Linked DNA regions of Mus musculus. The protein of the gene in region 1 interacts with the protein of each later gene in a pairwise test. Links are inferred from orthologs where the notes say so. Each region holds a gene or a part of one and is shown on either strand. Other genes may lie near its edges.

Region 1 (3,989 bases):
GTTTTTGTTTTTCGAGACAGGGTTTCTCTGTGTAGCCCTGGCTGTCCAGGAACTTACTCTGTAGACCAGGCTGGCTTCGAACTCAGAGAACTCAGAAATCCGCCTGCCTCTGCCTCCCAAGTGCTGGGATTAAAGGTGTGCGCCACCACCACCGGGCTAATAAATTATTGTTACCATATTTGCTGCTTCCATTGTCCTTTTTCTTTTTCTTTTTTTTTTTTTTTTTTTGCTTCTGTCCTGGAACTCACTCTGTAGACCATGCTGGCCTCGAACTCAGAAATCCGCCTGCCTCTGCTTCCTGAATGCTGGGATTAAAGGTGTGCGCCACCACTGCCCGGCTTCCATTGTCTTTATTTTCCAAGTAATCTAAAAGTTTACCACACGGGACAAAGTGGGGCATGTCTGTAATCCCAGAACTGACGTTGAGGAAGGATTGCATTAGGTTCAAGGCTAGCCTGGGCTCTATTGTTAATGTGAGACCCTGCCTCAATCCCACTCCCCATGATAAAAATTAAATAACCAGTAAATAGCACAAACAATAATATAGCGATACAACTAATGATTGCCTAAAGATAAAATAATCAACAAATACTATAAACAATATAGTGATACAACTAATGGTTAAGAGGCACACAGATCCACGTTCTCCCGGTGACCAGCTCCTGATGTAAAATTTTTTTAAAGTAAATATATTTCTCTTTTCTTTTATTGATTGATTGACTGATTGGTTGATTGAGACAGGGTCTCACTATTTAGCCCTGGTTGGCCTGGCTGTATAAACCAGGTTTGCCTTGAACTCCTAGTGCTGGGATTAAAAGCCTGCGCCAATCACCGCAAGCTAAGCCTTTTTTTACAAGTGTAATAATAATTTCGTGTGTTTGTTTAAGGACAAGCCCAGGGAAAGCAAACAGGGTACGGCCCAGTGTCCATCTAAGCATAGACGAAACGCAGGTCTCCATGCTGTGTGCTGAGATCTGGAGTCACCCTTCTGCAAGGCACCCTGGGATTGCCCGGCCGCTCCCTCATCTCGCGACGCTTCCCTGCTTACCGCCCCACCCCCACCTTTTTTTTTTTTTTTCCCCTACGACCTGCGTCTGCGTCCCACCCCCACCCCCGCCTAACGTGTTTTTCAAACCTACCAATGAACGCGCAGCTTAGGCTCAAATCAGCCAATCGGAACGCGGCGTCACCGGGAAATTTAAATCGCGCCGGCCGGCAGCACGAGGCACAAAATCTGAGGGCTGAAGGGTAGCAGACGTTTCCACAGCCGCCGACCCGCAGCTTGAGTGTCCTGCACCACCTTTCGTGGAAATCTGAGCCGGCTGTACAGGTAGGAACGGAAGCCGGTCCTGAGCAGTAACGGCCGGACGGAAGGCTGCGGGGCGGAGGGCGGGAGCAGGCCGCGCCCGGGCCGGAGCTGAGCCTCCCTGCTCCGACCAGGCCTCGGGGCGGGTTGGTTTCGCCACGCCGGGGTCAGGGTTGGCAACGCCGGGCGCTGCGGAGGGCAGCGAAGGCCTGGGAGCGGCTCGGGTCGGCGTGGAGGGACCGGAGGGCAGCCGCAGTCGAGCGGACCTACCTGGCTGTGCCGCCGCTTTCCTGATGCTTCTGCCCCGGGGAGGAGACGCAGCTTTGGGCAGGGGATGAAGGTGGCAGTTAAGACACCCCAGTTAAGCCCTTGACCCGGATCACCTGGGTCAGGGTCGAGGACGGACATAAAGCAGTTAAACCTACTAGCTTACCAGGGTACTTTGGGTTCCTGTCCCTTCGCGACGACCACACCTGGGTTCTATCGAGCCCCACTGATCACAGCTGATGTCATCCCGGCTGAATGCATTCTCTGGAAGTGTGTGCAAGATGCGGCGTTAATGCCATTGCTGACAGCGATGATGTGATGGAAGGCCCTATAATGGAACGAACCGATTCTTTATGTAACTTGCAAGAGGGTACTAGTATGGATCCGTTTTGGCCATCGATCAACAGAAAACGAGAGCTGCGTTTATTGCCTTAAGGACGTAGATGGTTGCCAGGCATTGTTGGCGCACGCCTTTAATCCCAGCACTTGGGAGGCAGAGGCAGGCCGATTTGAGTTCGAGGACAGCCAGGGATACACACAGAAACCCTGTCTCGAAAAATAAAACAAACAAAGGACGTAGATTGTTCTCCTACTTGGTGTTCTATTAACTAATGGAGCCTAGAATTTAGATCCTTGACTTAATACCGTGCTGGCTAGAGGCTTAAGACTATTGAGTGTTTGAAAAGCCGCTAATCTGTTGAGATGCCCCGTGTGCTTAAACTACCCATTGGATTTTGAAGGTGTATAAAAACAGTAAGACATCTCAATTTTTCTGTATTGATGACATCCTCAAATGGTAATAGTTTAGCTATATTGGGTAAAAGTCTTAAAATTAATTTCCTTCCTTCCTTCCTTTCTTTTTGTTTTTTCGAGGCAGGGTTTCTCTGTGTAGCCCTGGCTGTCCTGGAACTCTGTGGACCAGGCTGGCCTCGAACTCAGAAATCCTCCCGCCTCCCAAGTGCTGGGACTAAAGGAGTGCGCCACCACTGCGGGGCTCACTGTGGTTAGTGGAAATTTTAAATTATCTTTTTTTAAAATTTTTTTTGATTGACAGTTAAGTTGCCTTTGTAGTAAGGGGCAATTATGGCTTAGTATTATAGCCATAATGATGAAAACTTGTAGGATTTTGTTTTGTTTTTATTTTATTTATATATTTTTGAGACAGGGTTTCCTGAGTAGTCCAGGCTGTCCTGTAATTCACTCTGTATACTAGACTGGCCACAAACTCAGATCCGTTTTACCTCTGCCTCCTGAGTGCTTGGAGTGCTTTGCCATCACTGCCAGGCTGTGTTGTGTCGTCATCTTTGTTTTTGTTTTTTTTTTTTTTTTTTTTGGTTTTTGTTTTTGGTTTTTCGAGACAGGGTTTCTCTGTATAGCCCTGGCTGTCCTGTCCTGGAACTCACTTTGTAGACCAGGCTGGCCTCGAACTCAGAAATCCACCTGCCTCTGCCTCCCAAGTGCTGGGATTAAAGGCGTGTGCCACCGTTGCTGCTTTTTAAATCTAGTATAGAAATGGAGTTGAGATTTAGTTGATTATAACATGCTATTGTATATTTCTGTTTGTTTCATCTTAAGATAGGGTTTCTCTATGTAGACCTAGCTGGCCTGGAACTCTCTACAGACCAGGCTGGCTTCAAACTGATAGAGATCTGGTTGTCTCTGCCTCCCAAGTGCTAGGATTAAAGGCGTGTATTACTCTACCCAGCTTCTGTTGCATTCTTATTAAAAATACTTTTTCTTTGTTTCTTTTTTTTTCTTCTCACCCTCCCTTGGCTCCTAGCTTTCCTCCTTGTTCCTGCAGCCATGTCCACGAACGAGAATGCTAACTTACCAGCTGCCCGACTTAACAGGTTCAAGAACAAGGGGAAGGACAGCACAGTGAGTACCTTCTGTTGCTTTCCTGCGTGCTTGTAAAGGGAAGGGGGATGTTTATATAACAACAGTTCTGAGGGACTGGGGATTGAATCCTAGAGCTTCACACTCAGGCTAGGTAGGTTTTTTTCTGTGCCCAAGCTTCATCTCTAGTTTTAGGTATTTAAACTTTTAAAATTGCATTTATTTATTATTTACTTTTGTGTATGTGGGGGGAGGATTTTTATGTGCACCTGTTGTACATGTAGAGGAATTTCCTCCTCTACATGGCTCTGAAAGATTGAAGGCCTCAGACTTGGTGGCAAGTGCCTTTATTCGCTGAGCCATCTCTTGTTGGTCTTTGAAGGATTTAAAAAAAAAATCACAACTGGGTGGGGTGCTGAACACCTTTAATCTCAGCACTTAGGAGGCAGAGGCAGGTAGATCTCTGAGTTTGAGGCCAGTCTGGTCTACAAAATGAGTTACAGGACAGCCAGAGCTACACAGAAAAACATTGGCTTGAAAAACCAAAAAGGGGGGGAAAAAAAGGAGAGGGAGAAAGATG
Region 2 (4,177 bases), on another chromosome or scaffold:
CTCCGGGGGTGGAAGTGCAACGTCCTTTTCCACCGCAGATGTATCAATGTCCAGAAAGAAGTCATCCAGGCCAGAGTCTCCCAGGTACCTTGAGCTCAGAGCTTCTAAGAATACAGGATCAGCCTGGGACACGATCTCATTCTGGGGACTCGAGGAAGCTGCTGGATTCAGAGGCGGCTCCATCTCATCCATGGATGTATCTAGCTCCCTGAGGATGGAACCGATGGTGGTAGATAGGGAGAAATCTTCTTCACCTAGGAAGAGAGGTTCCGGGGGCAGGGCTGGTGCTGGAGCGAGGCGAATGGCAGCCTGGAGCTGCTGGAGTGTGTTGTGGATAAGGACGTGCCTGCGGAGGCTGGGTGCTCTGGGGCCCAGGCTGCGCTGGACTTTGTCCAGAGAGATTCGGAGCAGGGCTTGCTGGTAGCTCCGAAGAGCTGTTGGACTCCAGTCCCACTTCTCCTCTTCCTCCTCCTCTTCCAAATCAGAATGTTTCCTCTTTAAGCCTCCCATGTCCTGTGAAAAAAGAGTGGAGTCAGATACCTTGGGACCTTACTTCTTCAAGCAAGCCTGTGTAGCTATGGGAAGCTTTTGTGTGTGTGTGTGTGTGTGTGTGTATGTGTGTGTGTATCAGAACCTCCATTTAAAGTGCACAGAGAATCCCACAAGGCTAAGAATGGGTAAATTAATGCATGCAATGTGATTGAGAGAACAAGATGCAGATAGGATTGCTGGGACTGGTAAGTGAGTGTGAGGAGGGGTGCACAGGACACAGAGTGGGAGCAGGTAGTAGTGAGGGTGGAGAGACTCCTGTAGCTGTCACCTCCTCTGTATTAAGGAGGCAGTGAGTTCAGATGTTCAAGGTCACCCTCAGCTAGGCAGTGTCTCAAAAATAAAAGGAGCTGGAAAAATTGCTGAGTGGTTACGAGCACTGTCTGTTCTTCTAGAGGATCCAAGTTCGATCCCCAGAACCTGCATGGATGGCTCAGGACTGCCTAAAACTCCACTTTTAGAGGATCCATGGCTTCTTCTGGCCTCCTTTGCCACCAGGCACACAAGTAGTGCCCAGACAAGCATGCAGGCAAAACATCCATACACATAAAATTTAAAATAGGAAAATGAACAGAAAAAAAAATTGCAGATGGTGTCCTATGCCATTAATTTCAGCACCCATCCAGGAGGCAGAAGCAGGTAGAGTTTAATATGGTCAGACAAACCTGTCTCAGAAAAACAAAAAAGCCCTAAAACAAATCACCAAAACATCCGGGCATGGCTTGAGTATCACTTGTCTGTGGTAGGCACAACGTTGAATTTACATTATGGTAATCAATTTTAACATTTGGAAAGTGAAAATCCTAACTCTGGTCTCAATAGATCTTGTTATTGTTTTCCCACAATACTTTTTTCCTAACAGGTCACAGGACAAACAGGTATGGAGCACAGAGTAATGGACCAAACCCAAACTTGAGACAGGGTTTCTCTGTATTGCTCTGGAACTCCCTATGTGGATCAGGCTGTGTCTCGAACTCATATCGTACCGCCTCTTCCTCCCTGAAGGCTGGGATTAAATGTGTGTGAGACGAGGCTTAGCTGGGACGTGTGTGTTTAAATTCTTTTTTTTTTCTCCTTTTTTAACAAGAATATTTCTGTCCGTACCTGCTTCCTACAATTGAGTCTATGACCTCTCAAAAGAGAGGGAGTATTTCCCAAACTCCGACCCAAAGGAAAGCCAGCTAGAGCGAAACTAACCACAAACTGCACCCTCTAGCGACCAGTCCAACCCAATCATCTCTTTTTATAGGCACCACCCTTCCCTGGGTCGCTAGACCAGACCCAAGAACACCTCAATGTATCCTCAGGGCCTTCTGGGAACTGTGGACCCAAAGGCTCCAGGCAGAGCTTCGGCTGTCGCGTTGGAACTACAATCCCCAGAAGGCCCAGCACACCCAAGAGACTGGACACGCCCGCCCTCTCTGAGAGCATGCGTACGGGAGCTCCGGCTGGTGGGGGAAGGGAACCCGGACTTCAGCTGCCCAGCGGCCGCCGAGCCCCGCCCTCTACTGCCTTCGGGGCGGTGAATCCGAGCTCCACGCCCCGAGCGCCCCTCCCCCACCAGGCTTCAGTCAGAAACCTGTTTTCTCTGGGTCCCTATCACCCCAGGAAGTTCTGGATTCTTCCCCAAACTGTCCTCGGTGTGCAGAGGTCCAAATCCCATCACATCGCCCAAAGACGACAAATAACTCTCGGGTACATAGTTCCGCCGGCGAAACTGGATATCCCAATTCTGAGACCTCGTCCCAAATCTCCCCTCATTCGGCTCCACTTTCAAATGACTCTGGCTTTCCAAATACCCAGTCCGGCTCCGAGACCCAGTCAGTGAACTCTTCCCCGGCATTCCCTTCTCACGACGGCGTCTCAGAATCCAATACTCGGTTCCTCTAGTTCCCGGGTTCCTCTAAATGCTTCATATCCTAGCCTTAAAACGCTCACTTTGTCCAGAACACCGTGGAACTCCAAACTCAGCCTATTCTTCGAGACTCAAACTGTCCTACACTCTCCTCCAAAGTTCTTTCTCCGTTTTCCTGGCTTCTCCAAACTCCAACTCCTGAGTAATCCTGCTCCCCCTTCGGTGCTGATGCTGGAATTCAGCCTTCCACCCTCCAATGTCCATCAATCACACCAATCTGCTCTCCACTCGGGATACCCCGCTTCCGCCTACCGTGGGGGCGCGCCCCCGTCCTCCTCTAACTCCAGGGAAATCTCACACAGGCGGCCACTCCTCACCTCGGCTGCCAGGGTCGCCACGACTACCTCCGACAAGCCTGCAGGGTTGGGTTCCACCAGTGCTGGGTAGAAGTCCGGCTCACTTTCCCCGGGCCTCTGGGTCTGGCTGGGGGCCACTCGGCTCCTCCCCGGAGGCCAGTCGCAAGCCAGGATTGGTTGGAATCCTGCCCGCCGCGGGGCGCCATTGGCTAAGAGGAGCCACGGATGCTAGGCCCCGTCCATCACTGGGCCGGGTCCGGTTTAGGTTGGCTACTGGTCAGGGGGCGGAGCGGAGTCTCCACGGTGGAGTCTGGTAACGCCGTCAGAACTGCTACTTTGGACCCAGCTGTGTTTCTCACTCCTCTGTTTCACTGCAGACCCCTTATACCAGACCCCACTGAAGAGTGACACCGGGTGACACCATTCTCCCCTCCCTGCGGTTTTGCAGGCTTGGGGCAGATGGTGGAGGCCACGCCCCCCGGAGTTCCGAAGGCTGGGTCAAACCGGAGGGCGGGGGGGGGGATGACGCACTAGACAGCAGCCAATAGCATGATGCGGCTTGCGTTGCCTGAACGACCGCAGCCCCGCCCCTTAGCTGGCGGAGCTCTGCTTCCCCACCCCCAACCCGTCTTGTAGGAGGAGTCTATGCTTAACCTAGAGGGGTCTGCTGCTTGTTTGGGGGAACCTCCTGGATCCCAGGCAACGCTTTCGTTTTCCGCATTTGTCTGCCTGTTGCTGTTTACTCTTAAAGACTGCTCACAACTCTGGGAACAAACTCAAACTTATTATTATTATTATTATTTTTAGTTTTGGGGATTTAACATTTGAGCATTTTGAACAAACACCGTAGAACTGAGCTAAGATTTAAAATTTTGTGTGTGTGTGTGTGTGTGTGTTTAATTTTGTGATATGGTTTCGTAGTGAAGGGTTAGCTTGCTCTTCACTATTTGGTCTCTGGTACCCTCCTTCCTGTTTTCTAGGACTCACTTTCGGATTCTTTTTGTTTTAGGCAGTCTCGTGAAGCAGGACTCCAGTGTAGACAAGGGCCTTGAAATTCTAATCATGCTTGGCTTCCATATTGCTAGTCCTGGAGCTGCAGGTGTGTCCCTAAAGAAAATTCCTTTTGCTTAGTTTTTGTGGTGTTGGGCACGGAACACCGAGGTGGTGCTAGCCAAAGTACTCTTATCACTGAGCTACATCCCCAGCCACTTTTTTGTTTGTTTTCTGAGACAGCGTTTTGCTGTGTAGCCTAAGCTATTCTGGAATCTTTCATCTTCCTGCTTCGTTTTTCTAGTGCTAGGATTTAGGCATTACCAGCTTGTCTAGCTTGCTTTCAGTTTTTCTAAGATGGCTTCCAATATCTCCTAAGAAATAAACACAGGGCTTTTCTCCCTTACCTTATTGCAAGGGTCCAATT

Evidence for each region. The genes of interacting proteins can lie anywhere in the genome.
Region 2: the proteins of Kpna2 (region 1) and Sertad3 interact in binary tests that used the Homo sapiens proteins (3 or more experiments, as listed by UniProt). The two-hybrid records come from large-scale screens. The link is inferred for Mus musculus from reciprocal best matches to the Homo sapiens genes KPNA2 and SERTAD3.

Annotation. Positions count from the first base shown.
Region 1 is NC_000077.6:106,996,700-107,000,688, reverse strand, and holds the start of Kpna2 (importin subunit alpha-1), read left to right. Parts: upstream 1-1,163; 5' UTR 1,164-1,330; intron 1,331-3,353; 5' UTR 3,354-3,376; coding exon 3,377-3,451; intron 3,452-3,989.
Region 2 is NC_000073.6:27,472,476-27,476,652, reverse strand, and holds the start of Sertad3 (SERTA domain-containing protein 3), read right to left. Parts: upstream 2,814-4,177; 5' UTR 2,782-2,813; intron 514-2,781; 5' UTR 511-513; coding exon 1-510.